Astyanax mexicanus: one gene and its partners. The protein of the gene in region 4 purifies or fractionates together with the protein of the main gene of each other region. This does not show direct contact. Links are inferred from orthologs where the notes say so. Each region holds a gene or a part of one and is shown on either strand. Other genes may lie near its edges.

The links.
Region 1: the proteins of med4 (region 4) and snap29 purify together in Homo sapiens (affinity purification with mass spectrometry; 3 studies listed by BioGRID and IntAct, with this or other methods). This does not show direct contact. The link is inferred for Astyanax mexicanus from reciprocal best matches to the Homo sapiens genes MED4 and SNAP29.
Region 2: the proteins of med4 (region 4) and polr2j purify together in Homo sapiens (affinity purification with mass spectrometry; 3 studies listed by BioGRID and IntAct, with this or other methods). This does not show direct contact. The link is inferred for Astyanax mexicanus from reciprocal best matches to the Homo sapiens genes MED4 and POLR2J.
Region 3: the proteins of med4 (region 4) and git1 purify together in Homo sapiens (affinity purification with mass spectrometry; 3 studies listed by BioGRID and IntAct, with this or other methods). This does not show direct contact. The link is inferred for Astyanax mexicanus from reciprocal best matches to the Homo sapiens genes MED4 and GIT1.

The regions. Positions count from the first base shown.
Region 1 is NC_064419.1:75,557-83,034, forward strand, and holds the start of snap29 (synaptosomal-associated protein 29), read left to right. Parts: upstream 1-4,353; 5' UTR 4,354-4,500; intron 4,501-6,317; 5' UTR 6,318-6,347; coding exon 6,348-6,593; intron 6,594-7,266; coding exon 7,267-7,463; intron 7,464-7,478. UniProt on the Homo sapiens protein: SNAREs, soluble N-ethylmaleimide-sensitive factor-attachment protein receptors, are essential proteins for fusion of cellular membranes.
Region 2 is NC_064408.1:29,549,781-29,557,077, reverse strand, and holds the start of polr2j (DNA-directed RNA polymerase II subunit RPB11-a), read right to left. Parts: upstream 3,126-7,297; 5' UTR 3,051-3,125; coding exon 2,998-3,050; intron 1,663-2,997; coding exon 1,573-1,662; intron 258-1,572; coding exon 83-257; intron 1-82. UniProt on the Homo sapiens protein: Core component of RNA polymerase II (Pol II), a DNA-dependent RNA polymerase which synthesizes mRNA precursors and many functional non-coding RNAs using the four ribonucleoside triphosphates as substrates.
Region 3 is NC_064425.1:19,365,795-19,374,236, forward strand, and holds the start of git1 (ARF GTPase-activating protein GIT1), read left to right. Parts: upstream 1-5,317; 5' UTR 5,318-5,801; coding exon 5,802-5,853; intron 5,854-8,442. UniProt on the Homo sapiens protein: GTPase-activating protein for ADP ribosylation factor family members, including ARF1.
Region 4 is NC_064418.1:243,444-250,746, reverse strand, and holds the start of med4 (mediator of RNA polymerase II transcription subunit 4), read left to right. Parts: upstream 1-4,294; 5' UTR 4,295-4,323; coding exon 4,324-4,403; intron 4,404-5,328; coding exon 5,329-5,395; intron 5,396-5,779; coding exon 5,780-5,950; intron 5,951-6,236; coding exon 6,237-6,294; intron 6,295-6,990; coding exon 6,991-7,077; intron 7,078-7,303. UniProt on the Homo sapiens protein: Component of the Mediator complex, a coactivator involved in the regulated transcription of nearly all RNA polymerase II-dependent genes.

The DNA.
Region 1 (7,478 bases), on a different chromosome or scaffold from region 4:
AACTATTATATCACACTATATTCACCAAAACTATTATATCACACTATATTCACCAAAATTATTCACTCACCCGTACAAATCACCGATCTCAGGTGTTCCTGAATCTCCTCCGTCTCCACAGGTGTTTAATAAAATCAGCAGCTCCTCCTGCAGCTTCTACAAACACTAGTGAAAGAATAGGATGCAGCACCTGTGCAACAAGTCCAGTCATAAAATTTAAATGCTAAATATTCCACAGCCAACTGTCTGTGATCATCCTGACCGTGTGTGTGTGTGCGTGCGTGCGTGTGTTCTCCAGACTTTGGCTTCATGTTTGAGAGTTCTCCTGGAGGAAACCTGGGCTGGGAGCCGGACATTAAGCTGACTGATGAGATGGTGATGATCATGGGAGGAAAGATGGAAGCCACACCCTTCAAATGGTTTATGGAGATGTGTGTGCGGGGCTACCTGGCCGTCAGGTGAGAGATGTACACGCTGTGTTTACTTGTTTGCTTGTTTATAATGAGTGAATTTGTGCTGAAACGCTGTGTGTTTCTCTACAGGCCGTATATGGATGCTGTGGTCTCCTTGGTGACGCTCATGTTAGACACCGGTCTTCCGTGTTTCCGTGGTCAAACCATCAAACTGCTGAAGTAAATTAATCTACTGCACATAAACAACAACTTAGTGTATTTGTGTTTAAGGAAAAGTCGTTTGTGAGGGGGCTCCGGTTGGTGTAGTGGATAAATGCACTGTCAGACCTGAGGGTCACTGTTCCAGTGCAGAATCCAGCTGCCAGACATCAGCAGCCGGGGAAAAAAGAGGTGGAGTCTGAGGAGGCAGAGGGGAAGTTCATATGACTGGAGATTGTGTAATTGGAGAAAAGAGGGTAAAATCAGAAATTAATTATTAAAGAAACCCATGTTTGTGTGTGTTTGCTTACAGGCAGCGATTTAACCCCAGCATGAGTGAGAAGGAAGCAGCGGCCTTCATGATTAAAGTCATCCAGAACTGCTTTCTCAGCAGCAGGTCGGTCTCACACAGGTTTTTTTTTACACTTAAAGTTAGTTAAGAAGGTCGTTTAGTTTGAAAGTTGGTTTGGTTTGGTTTGATTTGGTTTCACACATGGAAAACGGAAATTCATGTGATGATGTCTCTGCTAATTGTTTGATTACAGTGAGACAGGACGCAGACTTTTGTTTTTATTTATTGCGTAAATCTTCAGCAGTCGCATCAGAAAATGGAGTTCAGTGTGAAAACTTCTTATCACTGAGGAGCAGCAGAGACAGTGTTAGTTAATAGCTGTAATAATTATCTGCATAATATATCAGGTTAAACTGCACTTAAACAGCCGTTCAGCTTAAACAAGATCAAAGCTAAATCACATTCCCACCACAAACAAACTGTTTAGAACCGGACCAAGACTACCTCCTCTCACGGGTCTCGGTTCGACTGTATTGATCCACACCGGAGTGGTATTCTTTTTAAAATAAACTTTATTAAACATTTTCAAAGCACATTACAGAGTCATCACAAAACTGTGAGCGCCATTACTGTTTTCACACCTGTCAAAACGAACCACATCAAGAGGGAGCAAACTAACCCGTCTGATTTAATGGAGTTGTGCTACTCTCTCTCACAAGAACTGAACCTGAAAATGAGAAGAATGATGTACAGCAGTACAAACACAGTATAATGTGTTTTATTCTTGTTTTTTTTAGGAGTAAAACCTATGATATGATCCAGTATTACCAGAACCAAATCCCGTACTGAGCTGACAGCCGACAGTACAGTTACAGCTGGACCCTTACTAAAATCTCATGTATGTTTTATGGAAGAACTGTTACATCTGTGTGTGTGTGTGTGTGTGTGTGTGCGCACATAGAGTGTTAATGCACAGTGTTAAATAGGGGTGGGACAAAATATCAAAATCAATATATTCTATTGTTTTGTTTGCGATACATTATTCATCAAATATGTTTTTTTTTTTATTTATTGAAACAGGCGCTCTAAACCCCCTAAGCCCCGCCCTCAATTAGAGGAGTTACTAAAGTTACTGCTTCATTCCACATGGTGGCGCTATAATCTAATGAATAGGGTTAACAAAACCTTCAGTGAAGAATATCGGTTGCTAAATTGTGTAAAACTGAACCAATAAATCTATAATTCCTGGTATTTGATTATTTAGGAGTATTTTATTCTCTTCAGAAACACAGACGATGTGAAAGATCATAGAATTGTGTTGTGATTTATCGACTATCACAGAATCACAGTATCGTGATCTTATCGTTATTGTGGGCAGTGTATCGTGATATTGTATCGTGAGATGCCCTGTGATCCCACCCCTAGTTTTAACATGTTTGCCTCCCTTGTTGTGGAATTTTGATTGCCTGTTTGTTCAGTACTCTCTGCACTTTATACGCCTGTAATGCACTTGCAAGTTTTTAATCTTTTATTGAGTTCTTCAAATGAATATCCATATATGAACCATTTCTCCCTTTCAGATATTCTTTTTTTTTTTTCATTTTGACAACTTTTTACATAAAAAAAATAAAATGTGCCTCATGTAGACTTGTAGAGAGAAATGGTTAAAATGGTTATTGGTTGAAACCGCGCTGCCCTGCTGATGTACTGTTAACTGCATGGCTTCAGTGTGTGAGAAAAACAGCGCAGTAAAGGGCAGCACTTTATTCTACAGTATGGTAAGTGACTAGTATGTAATATGTAAATAAGTTAAAGGTAACAATACTAGTGATTTTACGGTACTTTAGTAAGGCAGTGGTAACTACTAGTAAAACTACCAGCTGCCAGGTTTTAGGACACATGCTTCATACACGTTAAATATTCAAATTCACTAGTATATACTGTATCTACATTCTGAATAAGACAATAAGAGAACAGTTACTATTTAATCTGTTATCAAACCCCAAAACCAGCACAGCTCCATTTATCTGTTATCAAACATGAGCCATTAATTCAGCTCGGAAAAGTTAGCATTGCCCGTTAGCTAATGGGCTAATCGGTCATTTTTTGACTTAAAAAACGCCAGTGCAGAAAATATATAAGAAGAGATTTGTGCTAAAATATAATATGTAAAATATAAAATATAATAATAATAAAAGTGATGAAAATGATTAAGAAATATTAATTAATCACAGAGCATCAGTTGCCAGTACTAGTAGTTACCATTGCGTTGCTTCTTACTATTTACCTATTAAATAGTAATTACTCACATACTGTGAAATAAAGTGCTACCCACTGAAGTTTATTATGCCTCAACATTACAGACTTATCAAGAGTTTGTAGCTTTCATCTCTTTAAAGTCTCAAAACATACGATTGATCACTGAATGCTGTTTTCTGTGCACTTGCTATGATGACACCTGGCATTTGAGTCTTGCTGTAAGAAATCCCAGTTTCTTGCTTCTCTTTCGAGATTGAAATTGCTTTTTCTAAAATACGAGCACTAAATATAATTAATAAGAGATTTACATTAATTTAAATATAAAAATATGTACATTGATATGTCTATAAAATACTGTGCATCATATCTGACTGATGGCTTTGTAACTTGCTAACTGCACTAAGTTTGTGTTCAGTTGTGAACCATTGTTCACCAAGACTGAAGGTCTTTAAATCAGTGATTAATAAAATCATATAAATTTTTTTAAGGTTTTAGAAATACTCCATCCTGCCCTGCTGGGTGAGAATTACAGACTATTTCAGCCTGTGAAAATTTGTTAGATACACACCAATCAGAACCAGATCAGCCCGAGGTCCTATTTAACCAATCACAGCTTGTTTACAGTATGTGCCTCAGTGTTGAACAGATTGTGAAGTGATTTTAATATTTGTACACTCGTTTACATGTTTGTCATTTTTCTGAATCTTTTCTATCCTGCACTGTTTTTGGATGGATACAGCCTGAGATGTTTAAATAAATTATTATATGGAAACAGACTGTGTGTTTTCTCTACATTACACTGCGTCTGAAATGATGACGTGATATAATAATTATTTCCATACACCTTCACTGCAAAGAACGGGTCTCTCTCAGGAGCTCCGTGAACTCCAGCACTGTGGTACCGTGAAATTTCAGAGCTTCAGAGTTCATCACTACACACCTCTCAACTTCTAACTTTTAATATGTTTAGTGATACATGTGGAAATACTGAAGGTGGCAGCAATGCATCAAATTAAATACCAGCTGTCATAAAACATCATATAATTAAAATAGACTTTTATTATTATTATTATTATTATTATTATTATTATTATTATTATTATTATTATTATTATTATTATTATCATCACAGTACCCGAGCGTTTGTGGCGCGGGTGTGACGTCATTACGGCGAGTCAGAAAGAGGAAGTTTAGGGTCACCTGATCCTCCTGGGAACACAGCGGGATACAGCACCCCTCAGTGAGCGGGACAGCGCAGTGGGGGCGCGCCGAACTCCGTTACACCCGCAGCAGCAGCAGCATCGCTGAGTTACAGGAGGACATTATTCTGTTATATCGGTGAGTTTTTTAAATTTAGTTTAGTTTATTCGGTGTAACTTCAGTAACCTAACATAGCCTCGCTAACAGGGTTAGCATAGCAAGCTAACAGCTGTTATTTAAACCCACAGATATTCAGCTGTTGGATTACTGTTGTCTGGAATTGATCGTTTTTGTGATTTATTTATATTAACATGGATAAATAATCATATTGTAACTACCTGCCTGTCACTGAACATGCGGTTAATTTACTAGAACCCGTCATCATCTACAGTATCTACATTAGATTAGATTAGGGAGCGTTAGCGGAGTTAACTCAGCGGTGCTAAGCTAATGCTAACGCTAATTTGCCAGAGAAGAGCTATTAATAGCTGATATCTAACCGCGGCTTTTAGCTGTTTTCATTTCATGACAGCACTTTTAATGTGTTTCAAGCTACACATTAACTGAGTCAGCAGAATATAATCGCTGTTTTTATTTTCCGGCGGTAAGAAAAGTTACTTAATGTTATAATAAGCGAACAGACACGAGGCTAAGCTGTTAGCTAACGCTAGCTAACGTTACATTCCGTGTAATTCACGTGATTATTATTAACTAAATTACACGTTTTACTAAGATGTTCTAGTTAATGAGGCTTTATTAAACTAGCTAAAAATCCAGTATATAACGCTATCTATAATAAGCAGCTGATATTATATTTAACTGATAAATTTAGTCTTTATTAAAGGATTTGTGACAGAAGGCCAGATGCTTAATTATTCCATAAAGTACACTGTGTGTGTAATCTATGAATCATCAACATTATTTGTGATTAGCTTACATCATACTGGTGTTATAAAAAACATGCATCAGAATCCAAGATTGGTGTGCTTGTTTTATTTAAGTTTTGTCCTTTGAAAATGTACAACTCATCAACTTCTAACCAGTGACTAACCAGTAAACTGAGGCATATTTTGAGTTGATCACAACACTAGACTAACTATCTAACGGGACATTTAGAGGAGAACAATCAGCTAGAATTGATTAATGTTGTGTTGGTGTGCCAACTGTAATGATTATCCACCATAGCTTTATTCATTTTTTCTTTATGATGCAACAACAGATTTTTCACGAAACAGGATGTTTTAAAACCTGTATACAGTGCTGACATCGCCAACTACACCCTGCAGAGGAAGGAAGCTGGTTTATCCTGTCTTCAGTCCCAGTCCTGTTAAATAATGTCTGTTCAAAATAAATGTTTTACATCTTCTCCTGTTGGACAGGCTTTGGGTTTATGGCAGGGGTTCTTAACCTTTTTAATGAACGGAAGTATTTTGGAAATATTTCACAAATCTTTGCAACACGACTGGGTGCTTATTTTCAATGATGAAAGACCAGTCTTCTGTCAGTTTGTATGGGAAGAGACAAACTGATAAAATCTGATAAAAATATATATTCTAGACATATAGACATTTTTGCACATCATCTCTTACATTACTGCTTCCAATTCTACATTCTAAACAGAACTACATTTTTAAACAAATTTGGATGTGCAAGCCCACAGCCTACATTAATGTATCTGAATCAGTTTGTGCTAAGATGTATAAAGTATAGAGTGTCTAATGAGTGGGTCTGATTCAGTTAAAGGAAAACTCTTTATAATGTCTAGATATGATTGTCTGTACATTTTGCAGAGAAACAGCCCTTAAGTAGAATCACCCTCACGACCCCTGTGAACTGTTTCAGAACGGAGGGTTAAGGTTATCTGCTTTGTGGGTGACGCTGTTTACAGGGTAACTGATGTGAAAGAACATGTTATTAGTGTGCAGCCGAGGAAAACTTTTTTTTTTCTTGCACAGTCGCTTACAGAACACCGCTGTGGTCGGAGGATGGCGGCGTATCCTAAATCCCACAATCCATTTGCCGATGATGATGAAGAGGAACCAGCAGGGCCGAGGAGGGGCTTTAATTTTGACGATGAGGAAGAAGAGGAGAGTAAGCTGAGTCCTGCGGAGAGGCGGCAGCGGCAGCTGGAGCAGCAGGTCATGCAAACGGCGAAGTCGGCGGTGGACAGTAGCTATCGCTCTCTCGGCCTCATCTATGAATCAGAAAAGATTGGGACAGAGACAGCAGAGGTGAGATGTTCTTAAACCTCGGGGGTCTAAGGGAATTTTTTCAATTCTCATGTAACGCAGAGCAAATTTGGAGAGATAATCTGAAAAGTATTTTTTTTTTATTTTTTCTGCGTATATCTTGTGAAGATTCACCAAGTGAAAAAAGCACACACACACACATCCTGGCTATTTGCATTATTCCTGCTTAGTAAATCATGTGACACAGGTTTAGAAATATTTAAAACAGTGTTTGGCCTTAATCTGCTTGTATACAGTATTTTTGATTGTTTTAGCAGAATCTGTAACAGAATCATCTAATACTTGCATTTATTAGTGCAAAACTTGTTGATGTGATTCGCACTAGTATATTGCTGGTATTTACACTTATTCACACCAAGAGTATATAGAATAAAACTTTTATAAACAATTAATACAGATACAGTGGTATGAAACGTTTTTAATGATTTTTCTTTATAAATCATTGGTTGTTCGGATCAGCAATTTTGTTGGATGGAATCAAAGGGGCAGATTCTTCTGATTCAGGAAGTGTTTTAAGTATATTTCTGTTATTTGAGTTGGACCTGCTGTAGGAGCACAGGCAGGGCTCATTGTTGGAGGTCTTGCCTCAGAAGTGTTTTATGGCTCGTCACGTTTTTTTTTTTTTTTTTTAATCACGCCGTCTCTCTGTTCTCAGGAGTTGATTCGTCAAGGTGAGGTATTAAAGAGGACGGAAAGAATGGTGGATAATATGGAGCAGGACATGAGGACTAGTCAGAGACACATAAACTCCATTAAGAGCGTTTGGGGGGGGCTGGTTAATTATTTCAAAGGGAAGCCAGAGCAGAAGCCTCCTCAAAAAGAGCCGCCCGCAGCCTACGAGGCCAACAGCAGGTAATACTGCACTCC
Region 2 (7,297 bases), on a different chromosome or scaffold from region 4:
GATTCTGTCAAACAGTATAAATATTTTTAGGTTTAAGACTCTGATACAGATGCAGATACTTATTCACCAGTGGTAAACTTACCCTAAACCTTTCTTCCAACAGTGACAACTCACTGATGAGGTCAGTGATAGCATTTGTGAAAGCTTCCTGAGGACTGTAATCTGGTGTTGTCTGCACACGGATCACAATCTTGTGCTCCAGTGGATGGGGCACTTTATACCCAGCAAACAGCACCTGAGGGTCCTTCAGTAGCTGTCTGTTAAACAGAAGGAAAACAGAAATATAATGCATTAAAAAAAAAAAAAAAAACAGAACAGAAACAAAATTGGTAATTAGGACATCTAGACACAGTGTGTATACACTAGGGTTGCAACGGTATGAGATTTTCACGGTATGATAACCGTCTCAGAAAATACCGCGGTATCACGGTTATCACGGTATCACAGTTTGTTACATATATTATTAAACTGACCCTTAAAGAAATTACAATAAAGGTTTTTGTTCAATTAACTATTTATTGTAGAAACCTGGAACAACTATATAGATAATGTCTCCTTAAAAAAAATAAACTGTACACCATTAGGTAAAGGAAACCAGGTTTTTCCACTACTCTTAAGGTCATTAAGGGTGTATATAATTATATATATATATATATATATATACACACACACACACACACACACACACAAACACAGGTGTCACACATTACATGTCCTCTAAGAAGTAAAGATCCTGTGTTTAAACTATTCAGTACAATTATTTAAGTTTAAATTATTTAATATCTGATAAACTGAGCCTGGGTCAGTGTCTGATCAACAACTGTTGTAAACGTCCGTTTTACTGCCAAGTTGGTATATAACCAGATAGAGGGGATTTATTTCTGAGTCTGGTTTTAACACATGAAAAACAGGCACGTCAGAATTTGAAAATTAACGCATGTAAATGAATGGCGTCTTTCACATCCAGTCCGGCGAGCACCTTTACACGGACACGTGAATCCGTCGTAGCACGCACTTCACGCCTGTACCTGCGTGCCCAAATTTCGGATAACTCAGCGCTTTTGCGGGCGCTTACCGCATGGGTTGTGCACGACTACAAAGAGATTTTATTTATGTTCAGATTAAAATTATAAACTAAACACATACTTTGCGCTGCACGGCGGGGTGGTGTTCTTGGAGATGGGAGAACAGGTTTGACGTATGTCCACCTTTAGCTGTGACTTTACGGCCACATTGATTATAAATCGGAAAACCATCCTCGGGTGCGTTCGGCGGGTCTCTGAAATAGTCCCACACTGCTGATTTTAGTTTAGCCTTTTTTTAGGCGGATGGAGATTTGTTTAGTCTGATGCACTTTCTGCCGTTCTCACCGCTGTGTGCTGAGCAGCTGAAGCGGAGCAGAGTTGCGCATGCGCGGGTGAGTTTCTCCGCTGGCTTGCGTTTTACCGGTAATAAGCAAACACACACGGTATGATAACCGTGCATTTTAATACCATGGTATACCGTGAAACCGGTTACCGCTGCAACCCTAGTATACACACCAAATCTTTAGGACAATAAAGTGATTCTTACGATCTGATGATGTTGCCCAGTGTATGGTCTTCTTTGTTCAATGTAAACAAACAGGCATTTGGCACCTTGGTATCCTTTGTAATTGTAATCCTTTAATAAAAAAAATATTACAATACTTACAGGTCAAATCATATAAAACAACAGGAAAGATAAAATAAATATATACATGAACTAGAAACAAGTGATGTACAATTTAAAAATATATACCGTACAAGTAAAACATCTGAACACACCTCTTTTTATTAATGCGTTTTATTCCTTTTCATGACTTTCACATTGTAAATGTTAATATTAAAGACATTAAAATAAACAGGAACACATGCAAAATGATTTTGTATTTATTCACATTTAGCTTTGATGACAGATTTTGCACACACTATGTGTCTTCATGAGGTAGAGTCACCTGTAATAGTTTTCTCAGCATCTTGAAGGAGTTTCTAAGGATGCTGAACAATAGTTGCTGCTTTTCCTTCAGTTCATCCCAAACCACCCATCTCAGTTGAATCTCGCAGTAAATGTGTAAGGAGTGGAGTAATAAAGTAATGCTGCAAGCACTAAATTAGCCTACAGTTAGTGCACAATAGAAATGAGTTAACTGAAGTTTCACTACATTGTGTGTAAACTGGTTGTGAAGAAGGAGAAAATAATTGATTTATTTCCTGTGTGTGATGAATGTATGTATGTATGTATACACAGCTCTAGGAAAAAAAAATAAAGAGACCACTTAAAATGATGAGTTTCTTTGATTTTACCAAATTGAAAACCTCTGGAATATAATCAAGAGGAAGATGGATGATCACAAGCCATCAAACCAAACTGAACTGCTTGATTTTTTGCACTTTTTTTTGAGGACTGGAATAAAGTTATCCAAAAGCAGACTGTTGGAGGGGAACATGCCATTATGCATAAAAACTGTAATTAAAAACCAGGCTTATTGCACCATATATTCGTTTCTGAACTCTTTAACACTTAATAATATGGACGTGTTTACTTTGCATTATTTGAGTTTTAAGAGCTCGGAAACGTTTTTTGTTATTTCAGCCATTTCTCATTGTCTGCAATAAATACTGTAAATGACAATATTTTAATTTGGAATTTGGAAGAAATGGTGGCCGTAGTTTATAGAAAAAAACAACAATGTTGATTTTACTCATATAACTTACTTATTAATATTAAAAATTGAGAAACTTAGGGGAAAAACAGGAAACATATCAGACTAAGTTCATTTACACCACAAAAATGGGGGCAATTCAGTTAAACTCAAAGATGTTTCACAAAATACCCTTTTCCCCAGATGCTAACCTAGCTATCTGGCTCTTCAGCTAACTATAACCTAGATAGGGAAAGTAAGGCCCGGTAACGTGGTAAGTAGCATTAGCTAAAGAGGATAGGCAGTCTTACACTACACAGGTCTCATAAACTTACTTTTTCTCCCCCTCAAACAACAGAAACGACTCGAAGGCCGGCGGAGCGTTCATCTTCCCTGTGAGTGAGAGCTAAGTGCTAATCTCTTAGCCGCGCTTTGGGTTCACACATCCTGCGCAACGTGATATGGGTAACGCCCTTCAAAATAAAAGGTTATATAGAATAAATATAGCATTAAACAAATAATTTCACTGAAGTGAACAAAGAACATACTTCTAATACATATTAATGTTATTTATTCATGTATTTATTATTACATGTATTGTATATTTTTATCATCACTGGAACAAAATTCAGGTCTAAAATGGTTAGACCTGCAGAGGACAGTGAAGCTTTTTTTTATTAGTCAATCGATTAAAATGAAAAATCCAATTAATCACAATAGAATTCTGCAATTAATCATGATAAATCACAATTTTTCTTCCTTAAGACTAAGCTTTTGATAATAGGTATTTAAATATGAATACAAAATCAGTGTCAGAAACACTTATTGGTGCCAATACCTTTATAATAATTGTATTAATTATTAATTAACTGGATTTTAGGGAAGGGGACAGTAATAATAATTATGTTGGTGGTGGAGTACACTTTACTGTATTATAATATATGCGGGTAGTTTTGGTGTTTTTAAAACTAGAATATTGTAAATTTCTGTAAAGTTCTATTGTAAGCTTTATTTTATGTTTAAACTTAATAAAACATAAAATAAAAAATCTACACAGATTTCTCTCCTGAAAACTGTTTACTGCGGCGCAGTAAACTCCCAGACCAATCACGGAATGGCATACTACTATACTGCGTACTGCATACTGCACTAGTATGTACTGCATACTACACACTGCCCAGTATGTAGTATTCGGTAATGTAACACTTTTGATTGTAGTACCCTACGCGGTCCTGCTGTGACACACCAGTCAGTGCTCTGTAGTGCTCTGAATTCCTCAGAGTGAGTTACAGAAACAACATGAAAAATGTCCTACCTTTTCATTATTAAAACTAATGAGATCTGCATACTGTCCAGAACAGCAATTGCTGCTTTTACTTTAGAGTTTAATGTAAGTGCAGTTAACCCAATTCTAACAACCATTTAGCAGCAGCCCCCACAACCCAAGTATGTTCCAGTTAAATATGTTTTCCTATTTATTTTAGTAAATTGCTATTTTCATCTATGTAAATACCAACAAGAAGAACACATTTAAACAAACTCTCATTCATATTTACACAATCTCAACAATAAAAGAAATGAGACATGTTGCACAAGTGAAACAATTTTATTAATTTGTATTCAAATCATTCCCTTATTTCAAAGAAAAATATGTATTAAAACTGAGGGAATTATTTATTAAATCAACAGAACGATTTATTAAGAAGGGAATTATTTATTAAATTAACAGAACGATTTATTGGAATTATTTATTTAAGTAACAAATGTATTAAACCTGAGGGAATTATTTATTAAAGTAACAAAATAATTTATTAAAACTGAGGGAATTATTTATTAAAGTAACAAAATATTAAAACTGAGGGAGTTATTTATTAAAAGAACAGAACAATCTATTGGAATTATTTATTAAATAAAGAGAACGATTTATTAAAACTAAGGTAATTATTTATTAAAGTAACAGAATAATTTATTTAAACTGAGGGAAACATTTATTAAAATAACAGAATAATTTATTAAAACTGAGGCAATTATTTATTAAAATAACAGAATAATTTATTAAAACTGAGGCAATTATTTATTAAAATAACAGAATAATTTATTAAAACTGAGGGAATTACATCAAGGCAGCACACAGCGGAGGGTCCCGGCCGCGGAAAGCGCTCGGCCGCGGCAGCGGAAGGTCCCGGCCGCGGAGAACGCGCGGCCACGGCAGCGGAGGGTCCCCGACGCCGAGAACGCGCGGCCGCGTCAGCGGAGGGTCCCGGATATAAGTGTGAAAGATATAATCAGATATGTTCAAAGTTTATTTTTGCCAAATACCAAGAGAATTAAACAAAGTTCCTGGGAGTAGTTTGACAACATACGAAAAAATGTGTGTAAAATGCAGATATTTTAAAATGGCCGACATCCTATTGGGTGGAGTCAGTCCTACCAATACTAAAAACGTATGTAATGCAGCCTCTTGTGTTTTTGCCAAGATTCATGAATTTTCAAGCATCTGTGTTCTGACCGTGTCATTGTTTCACTTTGGTTTATTGTTGCGTCTCTAGTAGATCATTTGCCCAACATTTTGTTACTGTTTCTCCGATCAATAATCCTTTTGGAATTTTTAATCAATTTAAATGAGTTCGTGAAAATTTGTAAAAATATTACAAATTCCAATATGGTCGACTTCCTGTTGGGCGGAGCTATTACAAGCAAATGGGAAATATGTGCAGGATCATAGGATCTATGTTCCTCTTAAAATTTGAAAAAAAAAAATGAAAAAATTAGAAAATTTTTGACACATCCACAGCATAAATTAGCTTTACTTTAAAAAAAGCTTTTACTTTTTCAAATTGAACCAATTAGGGGGCGCTGTAAAGTCCGCTAGCTACACATGAAAAAATTATCCATTAAAAATTAAGTCCCAGCACGCAACTGTATTACCCAGCAACACTAGTTTTAGTTGTCAAACCTCTGAAATCCACTGATTTTTCTATTCACCTCCTATAAAACATGCTGTCTGTTATGGTTCATGCTTTAAATTTGTTTTTTTGTATTTATAGCACCCTCTGCTGACCACTTTTATAATACTTGTTATTTGGATGTTTATTTGGATGTTAATTTTATCATTGGTTGTTGAGTCACATGGTTTTTGGTCACATGCTTAGAACGACCATTTTCTTTCAAACTAGTAAGAGAGGCGCATGTGTTAAGTCCTCTTGTGTATCCAGCTTCATCTTCCTGTGTAACCCTCTAAAGAAGCTTTGTTTGTAAGTAGATTTGTTCATTTAGGCTATTACTACGGTGGCTGAGAAAGCCCAACGCAGTGCAAATTGAAAAGCGCTGCAAAAGCACAAAACACATCCATCAAAATTACAACACAGGCGCAGCAAATAGAAAAACGCGCTGCAAAAAGAAAAACGCGCTGCAAATAGAAAAACGCGCTGCAAATAGAACCACAACACAACGGAAGTGAGTCACAACACAACGGAATTTTCCCGGGGGACCTTAAAAGATGCTGTACCAGCTAAGCTGCGTCTTCAGTAACGTCTCGGACTTCACTATGTGTACAAAGGACAATACGTGGCAAACAAGGCGTTTTGTGAAGCAGAACTTTTAATAATATGCACACAACCGTGGTAATCACAGGTAATAAACATTACTTACTTTTCAGAAGCTTGTTTGCCACTTAAGTTACTGTCCTTTGTATACAGCTGGTACAGCATCTTTTAAGGTCCCCCGGGAAAATTCCGTTGTGTTGTGACTCACTTCCGTTGTGTTGTGGTTCTATTTGCAGCGCGTTTTTCTATTTGCAGCGCGTTTTTCTTTTTGCAGCGCGTTTTTCTATTTGCTGCGCCTGTGTTGTAATTTTGATGGATGTGTTTTGTGCTTTTGCAGCGCTTTTCAATTTGCACTGCGTTGGGCTTTCTCGGCCACCGTATATTACTTACTATTTGTGCTTATTATTTAATTGGAACTGAAGGTATTCTTTGTGTATTTCATTTCAGTTTCACACTTTCTGTATGGAAGTACTCAGCTTCATTAAACGGACAAGATTACTTCATGCTCCTTCATCACTGAAGTTTGGTGCTTTATTCAAGTTTGCTCGAGTGTTTAGCTATCTGGTGATGTGTGCCTTGCTACGCACTCAGGTGCCAGAATACTGTCAGTGGCTGAAAGAAATATATTTTTCTTTATAATGTTACTTTAATTAAAGAGTTATGTGTCCTGAATCAGAATATAATAATAAAGTCCCAGCGCAAAACTGTATTACCCAGCAACACTAGTTTAAGTTCAGTCAAACCTCTGAAATCGACTGATTTCTACTATTCACCTCATATAAAACATGCTGTCAGTGGCTGAAAGAAATATATTTTTCTTTATAATGTTACTTTTATTAAAGAGTTATGTGTCCTGTGTCAGAATATATTGATTAAAGTGCCAGCGCAAAACTGTATTACCCAGCAACACTAGTTTTAGTTCAGTCAAACCTCTGAAATCTACAGATTTTTACTGTTCGCCTATAGTATAAAACATGCTGTCAGTGGCTTAAAGAAATATATTTTTCTTTATAATGTTACTTTTATTATAGAGTTATGTATACTGAATCAGAATATAATAATAAAGTCCCAGCTCAAAAATGTATTACCC
Region 3 (8,442 bases), on a different chromosome or scaffold from region 4:
TTCGAAAACGTCTGAACACAGGATGGGTTTTGCCAGCTAACTCAAAGCCACCGCCATCTGTGTACGCCTGCCTCGCTCTCTCTCTCTCTCTCTCTCTCTTTCTGTGAGCAGTCTGTCACTTTCCAAGCCAAAAGGAGGTAAAAATAAATCGACGCCTGTATGAGCGCAGTCCCTCACTTGCTGCCTTCCTTTTAGTGATCATGCGATAGATAGATGCTCTCTCTCTCTTTCTCTCTCTCTCCACCTCTCTGCCTCCATCCCTCCCTCTCTCTCTCTCACTCTCTCACTGCGTCCTTCCACCAGAGTGCGTATTCAAATATGCAGGGAGAGCCCAAAAAGCTGATTGGTCAAAGATATCCGTTCTCCAAGCATCACTAATAAGCACTAATCGCTTTAAAGGAGAACTCTAAGGGGCATACATTTACCATACAGTGATTAAGCTAATCCAATACAAAATGTACCTTATTATTCAAACTCTAATAGCAAAGAACACTGAATAAACATACTTTTTTGCTTGCATTATTTCTTCTAAGGTTGATGATGAAAAAAAACCCCTAAAGACCTATCCAGATAGGATTATTTTCTCAGGGGGTCCTGGGGTAATTTTCTCTTTTTTTGGGGGTCCTCTGCGATTTTAGGACCATGAAGGACCATGAGGTTTTTTGGCTTTCTCGTTCACATGACATTGCGTTCAGTAGCTCCTCCATTTCCACTCACAGTCGTGTTTACATGGTTCTGGCTGAATTACCTTACATTTTTTTGCTGATCAACGTGATCCTCTGGTAATTTTAGTCCTGTCCGGATGCACATCTCTGAGTTTCGTCACCTCGCATTTAATAAAATAGCTATTTATCCACTTCTACTCACTGTAATTACACTTTGTGCGCACGGTTTCACAGAGAACCATGTTAACACAACAGCAAGTGGAAACGCAGGAGCTACTTAACGCGATGTCATGTGAACGAGAAAGCCAAAAAACTCACTCGTCCTCCTGTGGTGGTCCCAGAAGTTTTGAGTAGAAGTGTGAAATATTTTTCATAGACATCCACCTAAAAAACTAATCCTGTCCGGACAGGGCTTAAAACAACCTTTATTTAATAAGTTCTCAAATTGACTTGGGGTGAAGTGAAACATGATAATGAGTACAAACTTTTGCCAAATAGCCCATCTCCTTTCACCCCCAGCACTCTAAAATAAAGCACTTTTAGCCAATGCTCCAACAGGCTCAAAATAGCTAGCGATAGTGGCATAACGTTGCTCATGCAAAAAAAAAAAAAACACTATCTTACCTATCCAGCTGATGATGAAAAAAAAAACCCTAAAGACCTATCCAGATAGGATTATTTTCTCAGGGGGTCCTGGGGTAATTTTCTCTTTTTTTGGGGGTCCTCTGCGATTTTAGGACCATGAAGGACCATGAGGTTTTTTGGCTTTCTCGTTCACATGACATTGCGTTCAGTAGCTCCTCCATTTCCACTCACAGTCGTGTTTACATGGTTCTGGCTGAATTACCTTACATTTTTTTGCTGATCAACGTGATCCTCTGGTAATTTTAGTCCTGTCCGGATGCACATCTCTGAGTTTCGTCACCTCGCATTTAATAAAATAGCTATTTATCCACTTCTACTCACTGTAATTACACTTTGTGCGCACGGTTTCACAGAGAACCATGTTAACACAACAGCAAGTGGAAACGCAGGAGCTACTTAACGCGATGTCATGTGAACGAGAAAGCCAAAAAACTCACTCGTCCTCCTGTGGTGGTCCCAGAAGTTTTGAGTAGAAGTGTGAAATATTTTTCATAGACATCCACCTAAAAAACTAATCCTGTCCGGACAGGGCTTAAAACAACCTTTATTTAATAAGTTCTCAAATTGACTTGGGGTGAAGTGAAACATGATAATGAGTACAAACTTTTGCCAAATAGCCCATCTCCTTTCACCCCCAGCACTCTAAAATAAAGCACTTTTAGCCAATGCTCCAACAGGCTCAAAATAGCTAGCGATAGTGGCATAACGTTGCTCATGCAAAAAAAAAAAACACTATCTTACCTATCCAGCTATGCTTTTCAGTCAATTTATTGTGACTTTATTTCAAGATAGCAGTGCCCGGAGAACTACCTGAATGTACTGTGTGTATAAACTGTGTCTTTTTTAATAAACCACCTGCTCACTTTAGCAAAAAATCAAAAGCAGTAAAAAGGAGACAGAGACAGAATACACAAAATTACAGTCCAAACGACAGATTTCAACTTCAACTTCCAACTTTCAAAATTCACTTTCAATTTGCAGACTTAATTGAAACAACTGCCAATACTTCACTTTTAAATAGCATTCACAACACTGTGATAAATACATATTCTCAGGGGTCCATTTTTTTATAATATGAAACCTGGATGGACAAATAACAGCATAGGTTCATTAGCTTTTTAATGTCACTCTCCATGACCTAAACATAATACAGAATACCTTTGGAAGGGAAGGCGGTTAAAGGAAAATCAATACAGACCCATGTGCTATGTGAAGGGAGTTGTGATGCTGTCAAGAAAATCAGACAAAGCATCCTTAATATGAAAAAAATCCTTACTGGCTCTTGAAGATTGCAGAATGACATGAAAAGAAAGATGCTGAGTCAATTCCCCAGTGCATAAGTGATTCCCAGTAACTAGGGATAGCCTAAAACTACTAGACTGCCAGGAGAGTAGATTAAAACAAAGAAATGGTCTGTTGAAAAGTGGTGAGGTGGATTTTTTGATCCCACCTAAGCCTTTGGGCTGCTCATCTAAACCCTTAATGAAGAGAGGGGTTTAATGTGCTGATATGGGTGTCACCAGCTCTGTCACAGTAAAGTGTAGAATATGTGACCTGAGGTTGAGTCAGTCATCCTCAAAATCCAGCTCTGTTTCTAGATGTTCCTCTAAACATTGGTGTCTGCAGCTGACCTCCTTGCTTGTCTTAATTGCAGCAGCTATTCCCCTGAACCTTTTCCAGTGGATGATTGATCAGACACTTGACCAGGCAACACTTAATTTGAGCAATACCTGACCGAGAATGACCCAGACCTTTGTAGAATTGGATGGATAAAATGGATAACACAGCATTTCAAATTAAACTCCATCTCCTTTTTTAGGTGCTCAGTGATGAAGAAAATGTATTTCTGAGACCAACAAACAGATACAAATCCTCATTGACCTAATTTTTTCACTCATTTAACATTTTGTAGACCTTATGGTCAATTTTATTGTTTCACATAAAGTCACTATTTGAAGCACTTTTTTTTTCTTTTCAGGTGAAATTCCCTACCAGATTAATGCATCACTCAACTTCATCTTCACATTTAAGGAGGCTGTGTCTAAAACTGGAACTAGTTGACTTGATGCCTTGCTGTCCATGCCATCTCAGAATGGACCATTGAGATAAAGATTTCTGTAACTGAGGCAACAAAATGTGCAGAAATTCCCATGGTATCAACAGCTCACTGCTAGATAGGTTTTTTAAATGGATTTTTATTTTTCATATCTTTTATGCTAAATAACATAGGATGTTTGTAGATACTAGTACAATTAATGTACAAAAAGAACACTAATATTGGATATTTTACAATTGTTTGCATGTTCAGTAACATTGGTAAGCCTTTATTGAATTGAATTGAATTGAATGTGGATGTCCAACAATGGCCCACTATTCTCTTGTTGTCTTTTATAGTGAGTTTTTGAGGACTATTATCTAATAATAGTTTTTGAGGACTATTTTTTACACTGAAACAATCAGTTTATGGCAAAAACCTTCTTTGAGTGCAAATTAAGACCATTTCAGTGTTTCAGCTGACTATTGTTTAGGTTCCTATTACCACTATTGTTTGTGACTTCATTTCTTCAGAATTAAGCATTTTGTATTAAACCACTCTGAATCAGGTGGTGGTCTTTGCAGTAGGCAAATGTAGACAGCTGTTTATAGCCCCCATAACCAAAGAACATCATGAAATACAAATGGAATATATGTGTAACGTTAACCCTGAAGATAAATGTGGAGTAGGCGATTTTGTAACAAAAAAAAAGAGTAGGTGTAAGGTTGTTGTTTTAGGGGAGAAAAATCCACTCCATACTTTTAGCAATCCTTTTAAAAACACTTTTTCAGAACATATAAATGCCTGACTAGTCACGACAGAATGTTGAAGAGAGGCAGAAGCTTATTTTACAGTCCTGTGGCCTTCACAGATAATGTTTTTTTATTGTTAGAGCATTGAATTCATTGATAGCTCAAGTGATATAAAGAGTATTTTAAGAAATATTATTCAATATTCTTCTATTATTGTAGAGATTCTGCAGCCTCATCCTATATCATGTACAAATTGGATTATTCCAGGTTTTCATCTAATGCCTTAAACACATATAAGCAGATATACAAGTAAGCTATCAGCTATCAGGCAGTGTTAGATTTTGAAGAAGGGGATCTTTTAATTGATTTTCTGTATACTAAGCAGGAGAGATAGAAAGCTGTTTGCACTGACATTTACATGGATGGCTTTTTTATTATTACCCCTTATTGATTTTAGACCCTTATAAACTATTCTAAGATCATTACATTAGTTATTATAAGTTCTTTAAATTGATATATTACATTATTTTTATTTAACTCCTATGTAAAACAAAGACCAGTTAGATGTTCAATCTAGATAGCTATAAGTTATATACAATGACATGCCAAAATCATTCATGTAGACTGGTTCATTTCATGTAGATGTGAGTTCTAGCCAATCGCAACCTATCACAGTCATTACCACCTCATTACCATTTCGCTCTGCATTGCGGGTGGTCCCATCCTACACATTTGTTTACAACCCCAGATGATCTCAGTCTTGACCTGATTATCTCTAAATACAGTCCATATTGACTAAAGGAGGATGGGCCCCCTTATTTTTTTTCTTCTAAGGTTTCTTCCTCCAGCTTTAAGGGAGTTTTTACTTGTCACTGTCGTCTTGCTCACTGGGGGATTTTGACAATTTCAAGGTAAAATTTATTTTACATTGAAAAGATAGAATTAGAATGTAAAACTTTCAAAACTATTTCATTTTTTGTCATTCAGTACAGTGAAGAATAATGGATTGTCATCCAATTTTCCATCTAGAATTTTAGGAAAAATTAAAAAGGGAATATTCTCTTGATTTTCTGATTTTTCTAGTAACCTATGGGCTATAGGCTTTATATTAGTCATGTTTAAACCCATAAACAGTAGCCTGAAGCCCACCGTATCTGTACAGTATGTGTGTGCTGCCTCCTTGCTACCCCACCATGTGCTGACACTAGGGGCGAGAGAGTAGGACGTCAGAGGGAGACGGTATGCAGCCTGCCACAGCCTACAAATGTGTGTGGGGTGCAGGATGTAAATAAAACGTTGTTTCCGTGTCTTTTCCCTCCGCTTGCCTCTGGATATGGGGCTTGGATAGAACAGGCTAATACCTACATAAATGTGGGATAGAGGAAAATCCCCAAATTATATTCTATACAGCCTATGAGAGTGATTTAACTCTCATTCAAACGGGAAAAGGGAGTGTTTGTGTGGTTTTAACGAAGCGTAAACTCCTTGCTGTGGGAGCAGAGGGAGGACACGGAGGAAAAAAAGACGTGAGCGAGAAGAAGGGTGAGGACCGGGAGCCCTGGAAAGCTCTTCGCCGGCTTCCGGACATTCAGGGGCGGCATCAAGGCTGCAGTCGTCGCTAAACTGGAGCGTCGAACATCCCCGATACTGGATTGGAATATTTAAATTATCTCGTAAAGCCTCGCCGTATATTTGGCGTTTATCATGTCCAGAAAAGTCCAAAGGAGCGAGGTGTGTGCCGACTGCAGTGCGCCAGGTAGGTTGAAATGCATGGATCAAGGCGTTGTTGGGATCTAGCTAGCGCTAGTTAACATTGTGTCTAGTGGGCTGAAGCGAGCTGGCGCTGAGCGGAGAGACACAGAGCACGGCTGCTGGGCCAACAAACAAACGGAGAAACGGCCTGCAAACCTCGGCCAGAAAGTGACCAGGGCCTTAACATATATTAACATGAAGAGTCCATCATATTCACCAACATTAGACCGTATATAAGGCGGCTGCAGTTGTGTTTAACTATTTCAGAAAACTCTGTAGCTGTTAGTTAGCCGGCTGACTGGTTAAACGGGGTTAGCTACAGGCTAATGTAATGGCGAGTTTTATATATCGGGCTCTGCTTGTTGTTAGCATCCGCGCTAGCCACGTAACATTAGCATTAACATTATTTATCCTTTCACCTGTCTAATAAATTAGCTACTATATAGTCTATATAACATGTAAGCTACTCGTTATGAACACACATTGCGTAGTCTTCTAGCTAACCTGCTAATCCAGTCAAAAGCGTAACTATTCAGAATGCTAAGGTTAACAAGCTAGCTAGTTGGCTAATTTTAGCTAGCTAGCATACCTCTGTTGCGTATCCCGACTCAATTAGTTATATAGCGTTAGATTATAAATGTCAAAGCGGGACATTTATCAGAAATGCCTGGCCTATAACTGCACAATAACGGTGGCGAAAAATAACTAAGTACCTAGATAAATAGTTAGCTCAGCTAGGTAAGTTGGCTAAGGCTAGCTGCTGTAGACGATCTACATCGTAACCTAGCTAGCTAGCATTAGCTATCGTAGCTAGTAGCGTTAGTAATACTGAAACTAGACAGTTAACGCTAACGCTAGCTAGCTGTCATTGACACTGTCTTTAACCGGAGTTTACATCCTGGTCGTTACATCCATTAAATATGATTCTAAAGTTAATTATGCATGATATAATTTGTTGTTGAAAACGTCATATAATTTAAGAAACATTTGCTTATTCTGTCACATCATAGACAGTTAGCTGGATAGCTAACCTTAGCACAAAACTTTACTATAGGTTAGCTACCATTAACTAGGTTAGCTACCGTAACTTAAATTAATTCTTAAGTAAACTTGAGAAAAATGTCACGTTTCGGTAGTTTATTGTCTGCCACATTCACTTATAATGGCATGTATACTATAACAATTGATAAACAGTATATTAATTGCTGAAATTGAATGTACCATGGCTTGTTATGGCTTCAGTATCCTGTTATCATTTTTTTTTGGAACAAGACTTTTGCAAAATCAGCTCATTTTTAGGTGAAAAGACCATAATGGCACATCTGGTTTACCAATCTTTTAGTAGAATATTATTTATCAGTCTGACTCTAATGCCAATTAAAATTCTTTCTTATTTAAGTAAAAAAATACACACTTAAATCACAATGGAATAAAAACAAGAGAAATGTCTTTAAACACATTCGCAAATGAGTTTTTACTATATGTCTTCACTTTACAAAATTACAAGCTGTTCACACTACATACCAGTGCAAATAACTAATTTCTCCAACCCTGTCTATTGGAAGCAGTGTTTCTATATTTCTTATATTTCTATATCTCTTTTGTTTTCACTATGTAAAACCATATTTTATTAAGCTGTCATCCCATTGTCTTTTGATATAACATCTCTTAATGACAGTCAGGTTATTGAAGATCAGTGGAGCCTTGGCCTTGCTTATGAAGCTCCCATCTGCCCCATAGGGAAGAGGGGGCAGAATGGCAGCTGCTGTCATACCCCACAGCTGCTCTCTTTCCAGGAATGTCCCTCTGTCTTTCTGTCCCCACTCTCATCTGATCACCTTCTCTCTGCACCATCCCATCTACTGATTTGTAGCTCCTGAGCTTCTACCTGCAGTCTGCCTCTAGCATGATGCAGTTACCAGCATACATTGTCAGCACTAAGGACAACAACATTGACTCTCCCGCACCAGTGCTGAGTTTTAGCTGGTGTCTTGGGCACTTGATTGACTCTGTTACTGCTCTGTCATTACTGCCCCATATTACTGCAGCTCCCTGGCTGCTGCTGAGGAGCGTGTAATAGTCACGTTTGACATGCCAGAGGAATGCATATAATGGTGTGGTGTAAAGTGGGGCTGAGTGCGTCAGCTGGTGAGGAGCTGATAATTGTTGTACTGCAGTGTGAATGTGAAAGGGTGGATGTAAAGCAACGTGTTGTGCAGTGTAACTGTTTGTTTGGTTTTGTTTTGTTAAGTGGGAAGAAAATTGTTTATGTGGCTATAGAACACAATATTGTGTTGCAATATTTGCACTTTAACAATGCGGAAGTGTGTGAGCACGTATATGAAATAATGTTAAGCAAGATTAAGGCTAAAGATCGAATTGTAGTCTCTCATAAGGCAGGTTTCAGTTTGACCTAACCCTGTATTTTCTCTCTCACTGCCCCAAACTTTGGGTTAGAGGAATAGTTCTCTGAAACATGTAAGTCAATGTATAGAAATTGTGGAATCTGTTTATGGAAATTAGATTTTGACCGTAATGTGTAATGTTAGCGAAGCATCTCCTCTGTTGTAAATTAAAGAAACAAACATCAGAT
Region 4 (7,303 bases):
CTAAAAATTGCATTTAAATCAGTTTTAGATGCTCTAGGCTTTAAACAAAATGTAATTGGCCCCACTCACCGATGTAGTCATACATTAGATTTAGTTTTGACACTGGGTATTGAGGCTGAGAATATAGTTACTCTTTCTCAACATGACTCAATATCCGATCATTATCTAATTATGTTTGAAATAGTTTTTAATCAAAATATCCTCCTCCCGCCCCGCTATATCAGCAAGCGTAAAATAACAACCGCAATTGCTAATGAATTTGTAAATAATCTCCCCGACTTAACCATCTCCCTTCCGTCCTATGAGCATGATCTCGAGCACAAAACAGAAAATCTACAAACTGTGCTCCGCTCTAACCTTGACCGCGTAGCGCCGACAAAAATAAAACAAATCAGGGATAAAAAGCTAGCACCGTGGTATAATGACCACACACGTACATTAAAACAAACCGCTCGTAACTTTGAACGTAAATGGCGACACACAAAACTAGAATTTTTCCGGCTAGCATGGCAGCATAGTCTCACAGACTACAAAAAAGCCCTAATTAAAACAAAATCCCAGTATATTTCATCGCTTATTGAGAAAAATAGAGACAATCCTAGATTCCTTTTCACTACTGTGGCTAAACTCACCGGCAGTCAAAAACAAACTAGCTCCGTTATCCCTGTCGACATTAATAGTAATGATTTCATGAAGTTCTTTGATGATAAAATTAATAGCATTAGACAAAAAATTCAGTATCACCCCCAAAATTTACTTATAGATATTAATGAATGCTGCTCCAGCTCTGAGACACACCTAGAGTGTTTCAGCCCGGTTACAGAAAAAGATTTACTTAGTGTAATTAACTCATCAAAATCAACATCATGTATATTAGATCCAGTACCCACACAATTATTGAAACAGGCACTGCCAAAGGTGGGAAAATCATTACTAGAAATAGTAAATTCATCCCTTAGCATGGGCTACGTACCCAATTCTCTTAAATTGGCGGTCATTAAGCCCATTATCAAAAAGCCAAATCTGGACCCCCGCGAGCTTGCTAATTATAGACTAATTTCTAATCTTTCCTTTATAGCCAAAATCCTAGAAAAAATTGTGTTTAACCAGCTGCGCTTGTATCTACAAAGTAATAGTATGCATGAGGTTTTTCAATCTGGATTTAGACAAAACCATAGTACTGAAACAACTCTACTTAGAGTAACTAATGATTTACTTTCAGCTCTTGATAGGGGCAGTAATGCCATCCTTGTACTGCTAGATCTAAGTGCTGCCTTTGACACCATAGATCACGCTATTCTACTTGATAGGTTAGAAAATCTTATAGGAATTAAAGGATCAGCCCTCACCTGGTTCAGATCTTATCTGAGAGATCGATTCCAGTGTGTTTACTTAAATAACGAATGCTCTTATCAGTCTAGAGTAAAATATGGTGTCCCTCAAGGATCAATACTGGGTCCATTACTCTTTACTCTTTATATGCTACCACTGGGTAAAATTATCCGTAGGCATGGTATTAACTTTCACTGCTATGCTGATGACACGCAACTTTACATATCTGCTAAACCCAACGAGGAGCTCTGTACAAATCAAATAACAGACTGTATTAAAGACATTAAAAATTGGATGACACACAACTTTCTCTTACTTAATTCTGATAAAACTGAGGTCCTTCTATTAGGTCCTAATATTGATAAAAACATAAATGTTAATACTGTAGACATAGACGGTCACTTAATTATACCTGGTAAAACTGTGAGAAACCTTGGGGTCATCTTTGACCCAATTCTTTCGTTTGATGCTCACATATGTAGCATAGTCAAAATTGCATTCTTCCACTTAAGAAATATAGCTAAAATCCGCAGTATACTCTCTCTGGAAGATGCTGAGAAGCTGGTACATGCATTCATAACCTCCAGGCTGGACTACTGCAACGCGTTGTTGGCTGGAAGTCCACATAAATTACTCCATAAACTCCAGCTAGTTCAGAATGCAGCCGCAAGAGTGCTTACCAGAGCTAGAAAGTTCGGTCACATTACACCTATTCTTTCATCCCTACACTGGCTACCTGTTAAATTTCATATAGATTATAAAATACTTCTCCTGACGTATAAATCCCTCAATGGTCTGGCCCCGCATTATCTACAGGAACTCCTTACTCCTTACAATCCGCCGCGTTCACTCCGCTCTCAAGACGCTGGCATGTTATTAGTCCCGCGTATTAGAAAAAACTATGCAGGAGGAAGAGCGTTCTTTTATAAAGCTCCCCAACTTTGGAATAGCCTCCCTATTAATATACGAGACTCAGACACACTCTCAATCTTTAAATCTAGACTCAAAACATTTCTATTTGCTCAAGCTTTTGAGTAATGTCTCATTACAATTTTCTTCCTCTTACAGCTTATCCAGCAAATATAAACCCTGTCCTAATCATCTGCTTTCTCTTTCTCTCCCCATGTCCTGAGCTGCTGCTACCAGTGCCCATCCCACTCCAGCAGAGTTTTATAAAACCATTCTAACCCCTTTTTCTTCCCTCCCCTCTCTGTTCTCTCTCTCTATCTTTCTCACATGTGCTGAGACGCCTGGCCGGCCGGTCTTCCTGGATGTGTCCGTCTGTGGTTCCAGCTTTCAGGAATCAGCCCTGTCCTTCTACTCATCAGAATTATTACACAGCCTTTCTAACTCCTGCTTTTTGTTTCTCTTCCTTTCCTTTCTGTTTTCTCTATCTATCTCTTTTACATGTATGGAGATGCTGTTCCTGATGTTCCCAGCCTGGCTCTCCACTGCCCGCTGTGTTGTTCTCCGGCTCTGCAGCCCTGCACTGATTACCATTAACACACTCAGTATCTGTTTCTGTATTAGCCATAGCTCTATAGTTTGTGCCCATCACATTCTTATATTCATAAATTAGTACCTGTTATATTAGCCATAGTTCACATTAATTCTCTGTACTGTTTTTGTTCTGTTTGTTGTTTGTTGTTTGTTTGTACTGAGCGGGTCAACCCGAGTAGGATGGGTTCCACGGACTGAGTCTTGGTTCCTTCCAAGGTTTCTTCCTCTTAAAGGGAGTTTTTTGCCACTGTGTCACCATAAAATTTAGTACTGCTGTGAAATCTATACTCTGTTTTGTGTTCTGTACACATAGCATCTAGGTTCAGATGATTAAAACATTTAATACATTTAATAAAACAATTTATTTTCTGTAAATGTGTTTTTTTTGTCAATCAAGATTTACAGTGATCTGTAAGATATGTGTTATATAAATGTTAAGATGATTCCAGTCAGAAAGAGTTTTTTATAGTTATTTATTCTTCATATCAATCAGTCAACCTCTATATATATGTGGAGCATCTTTTGCTGTAGTGGAGAGTAAACAGCTGCTCTGAAGTTCATGCTCAGGTCCAGGAGGTGAAAAAAGGACAGGTAGTTTGCTTTTGCTGTTTTATTTTTGCAGCTATAACTGCACAGCTGCACCAAGAGATGCAGTGTGGGTACGAGAGAGAAACACGTAGCGCTAATGCTAATGCATAAAAGCAAAAAGACGAATGAATTCAGATTTGACCGTTCACATTCATGTTGCATGTTGCATGCGTGGATACGTATCTGATTTAGGATTACATATGAAGGTGAATCAAATCTGATTTGAAAAAATCAGATTTGGCACATTCACACAGCCATGAAAAAATCAGATCTGAGCCACATAAGTCAGATGTGAGTCACTTCAGCCTGGTAATGTGAACGTTAGAGGTGGGCAACAAAATACTTTATTATCACAATCAACATTTTTTTTAGAAACAATAGAACAGTTAAAAACTGTTTTTTTTAATAGTTTTACCACTGATTTGCTTTCTTTTAAATCTTGTTTTGTTTTATTGTACAACACTTGATGTCTTTTAAATGTGCCTATAAATAAATTGACTTGACTTGACTTGAAATCAAAGTTTGCCTTAACATTAGGAAAATAAATATTTTTCAGGTTAAAAAGGAGCAGCCACTATACAAAAATAAAATAAAAATTCTCCCCTCACTAGACATCTTTTCTAGTTCTTTCTTTTTTATTTCTTTTTTCAAATAGAATTGTTCTTAGAAAAAAAAAACAATAAAATAAGGAATTTTCTTTCAGTGCAATTCTATTTTTTTCTTTTACATCCCAAAAATATTAAGGTGGTGTTTCTCTCCATACCTGTTGTCTGATTGGCTGGCTCCGCTGAACCTCGTGACTCTTAGCAACACCAAAAGATCCTCCCTCCGCGCGGGGGCGCTGTGATTAAAGCTCTATTACCCCCCCCCCCCCTCCTCCTCTCTCTCTCAGTGTGAGGGGAAATGAGCGCGATGGCGGCGGGGGAGAGGAGCACTAAGGAGAAGCTGCTCTCTGCGCTCAGTGATATGGAGGTTTTATCGCGGTGAGTGATAATACGAAATTAATCTGAGGGATTATTGATTATTTATCAGATGTGTGATTATTTATTCCGCTCTGAGAGACACAGAGAGCGCGCGGGACTGTTTACTGATCAGCACTTCTGCTCATCCCGCCTGTTTTCACACACCTCTGCTCTGATTGGCTGGTGGCGTTTATGTCTCATAGCCTCGATTGGTTGGTAGCGCTGTCATCAAATATTCCGCCGGTCTGTTGCCCAATGAGAGCAGGCAGGGGGCGGGACCTGTCTGAATACGGGTAGAAAAGAAATTCTAGTTGAGCGGTTCTGTTACTGACTGCTTGTATTCTATTTTTCAGAATTAAAAGAAATAAAAAAGAATTTATATAATATATAAATAACTTATAAACTATTGTAAAATAATAAAATAATTAGTAAATCGATTATTAGTTTTTTTTGTCCCTCATAAATAAATAAAATGAATGAATGAATAAAAGCTTCCCATCAGTACAGCAGCTGTTCTGGCTTTAATGTAAATCAGCTTAGTCGATTCGTTAATCAGGCTAGATTTTAAGATTTTAACAGAGTTCTGTTTCTGTTTGAGTTTGATGGTTTCGCTCTTTGATTCTTTTTTATTTTATTTTATTTTTTTTGCCATTTTTAATTGAAGGCCCTCTTTGCGTGTGCAGGCTTCACAACATTAATCTTTGTTTTTGTTTATCGGGCACCACTTTTAATTTATATGAACAGATCAGATACTAATAAATTCACTGAAAATTACAAAGTTTATGTACTTGCAAAAGTGTATACTTATCATGTTTTATAATGCTGGACTTTTGTTGGAAAATTATTTATGAAATTCTACCCTGTAAGAAAGAGTATAAGTTCAGACCCAAAAGGGAAAAACCTGCTGTTGTATAATATCTGTGTTTTTTTGTGTTTGTTTCTGCAGAGAGCTGATAGAGATGCTCGCTCTGTCCCGAACCCAGAAGCTCCCGCAGCCCGGAGAGGACACTCAGGTACAGTGTGTGTCTCGTGTGAAAATTAAAGTTTGATTAATGCACTTTACAGATATTTATTTTAGGTTTGATTCTGGGATGCTGTAGTTTGTGGAAAATGTTATGATATTAAACTTTAATCATTAACTTTTAGATGAACATATATTTAAATGAATAGGAAATTAGAAATCTCACACATTTATTAAAAATCTTAAATGAACTGATGATTTGCATAAAAGTCAGCATATTCTATATTCCATAAACATCATATTAAAATATTTGCTTATATAATTTTCTCCTGTTTTGTAAATATTAGTAATTATGTTTATTGTGTTTAGCAGCAGTTTTTTGTGCTTTGTCAGATTGTGTTTATATATGGTTTATATATTGGTGGTGTATACGCAGGTGCTGGAGCTGCTGGTTCAGAGGGATAAGGAGTTTCAGGAGCTGATGCAGACGGCGGTGGAACAGGGCAGGATCCATCAGGAGATGCAGCAGCTGGAGAAAGAAGCAGAAAAGAGAGACAGTGACATTCAGCTGCTGCAGAAACAGCTGAAAGAGGCCGAGCACATCCTGGTGAGGCTGATCTTCAGTAGTGATGTTCTTGTTTAATATTCTTATTTTAAATAAATAGTGAAGTGATCTATTAGTCTATGAAGGAACACACGAGGAATCATGTAGTAACTTAAAAACAGTGTTAAACAAACTAAAACTTTTTGGTACTACATTTAGGTTCTTTTATCTGTGGAGCTTTTTTTTTGACTGCTAAAAACACAGACATTAAACATTTCTTTATTTATCTTTATATTATATTTATATTATATCAGGGTTTATATAAAATTGAATATCTTCTCTCCTCCAGGCGACGGCTGTTTACCAGGCCAAAGAGAAGCTCAAGTCCATCGAAAAGGCCAGAAAAGGTACTAAAATTCAGTTTGAACACAGCAGGAACACACACACACACACACACACACACACACACACACACACACCACTGTAATATTAACACTGTGTAATAAAATACAGTAACATGCCTAAATTAATGGGACAGCAGTATAGATATTAATCTTGAGGAGTTACTTTAGAGGATTACTTGGGAATTCCTGCATGTACACGTTGTGAGGTGCTATCTTGTGGGTGAGGTTGGACACTGGCCCATGTGCTCAGTGATGAGACAAAGTGAGTGGATGTTAAACATTCCACAATCTCTATCTAGGCCATAGAAGCCATTACCACCTACAGTAGACAGCACAGTGACCGGAATTATCAGTGCAAACAGAGAAGCGCCTCAGAAATCACATCCACATTCAGTGCAGGAGATCCCACACGTATACAGGATCCTGCAGGTCAACATATCATTTAATAGTGTGAGAAAAGTCATAGGCGATATCAATCAGTGTATTATTTTTATGATGAACACTTTTATAACATCACAGTTTTATCTCCCTTTCACTGGACTAGTTTGTTTAATATAAATACTGATTAGCTGTTGATTATCCGTCTCGTTTGTGATCAGTAAATGAAGAGTCTCTGCTCACACTTCCTCTGAATTAATGATTGTGTAGCTCTGATTAAATGTTTGGTTTAATAATAATTTGTTTGTGTTTATTTTGCAGGCAGCATCTCTTCAGAGGAAATAATTAAGTATGCGCACAGGATAAGCGCCAGTAATGCAGTGTGTGCTCCTCTTAACTGGGTTCCAGGTATTAATTTTATATATATATTTACTTCTTTTTCCTTATTTTTCCATCTCAAGCATCTTTTGCTGTTTTGCTGGGTTCACACCGGCATAATTCTTTTTAGTGTTTCCCCACTTTTTTGTTTATTGCTGTTTATTATAAAACCCATCGATTTACGACATTTAACATGATTTAGGATTAACTTTAACTTCAACAAAATAGACTCTCAACTAAATGAGCATGGATTAAG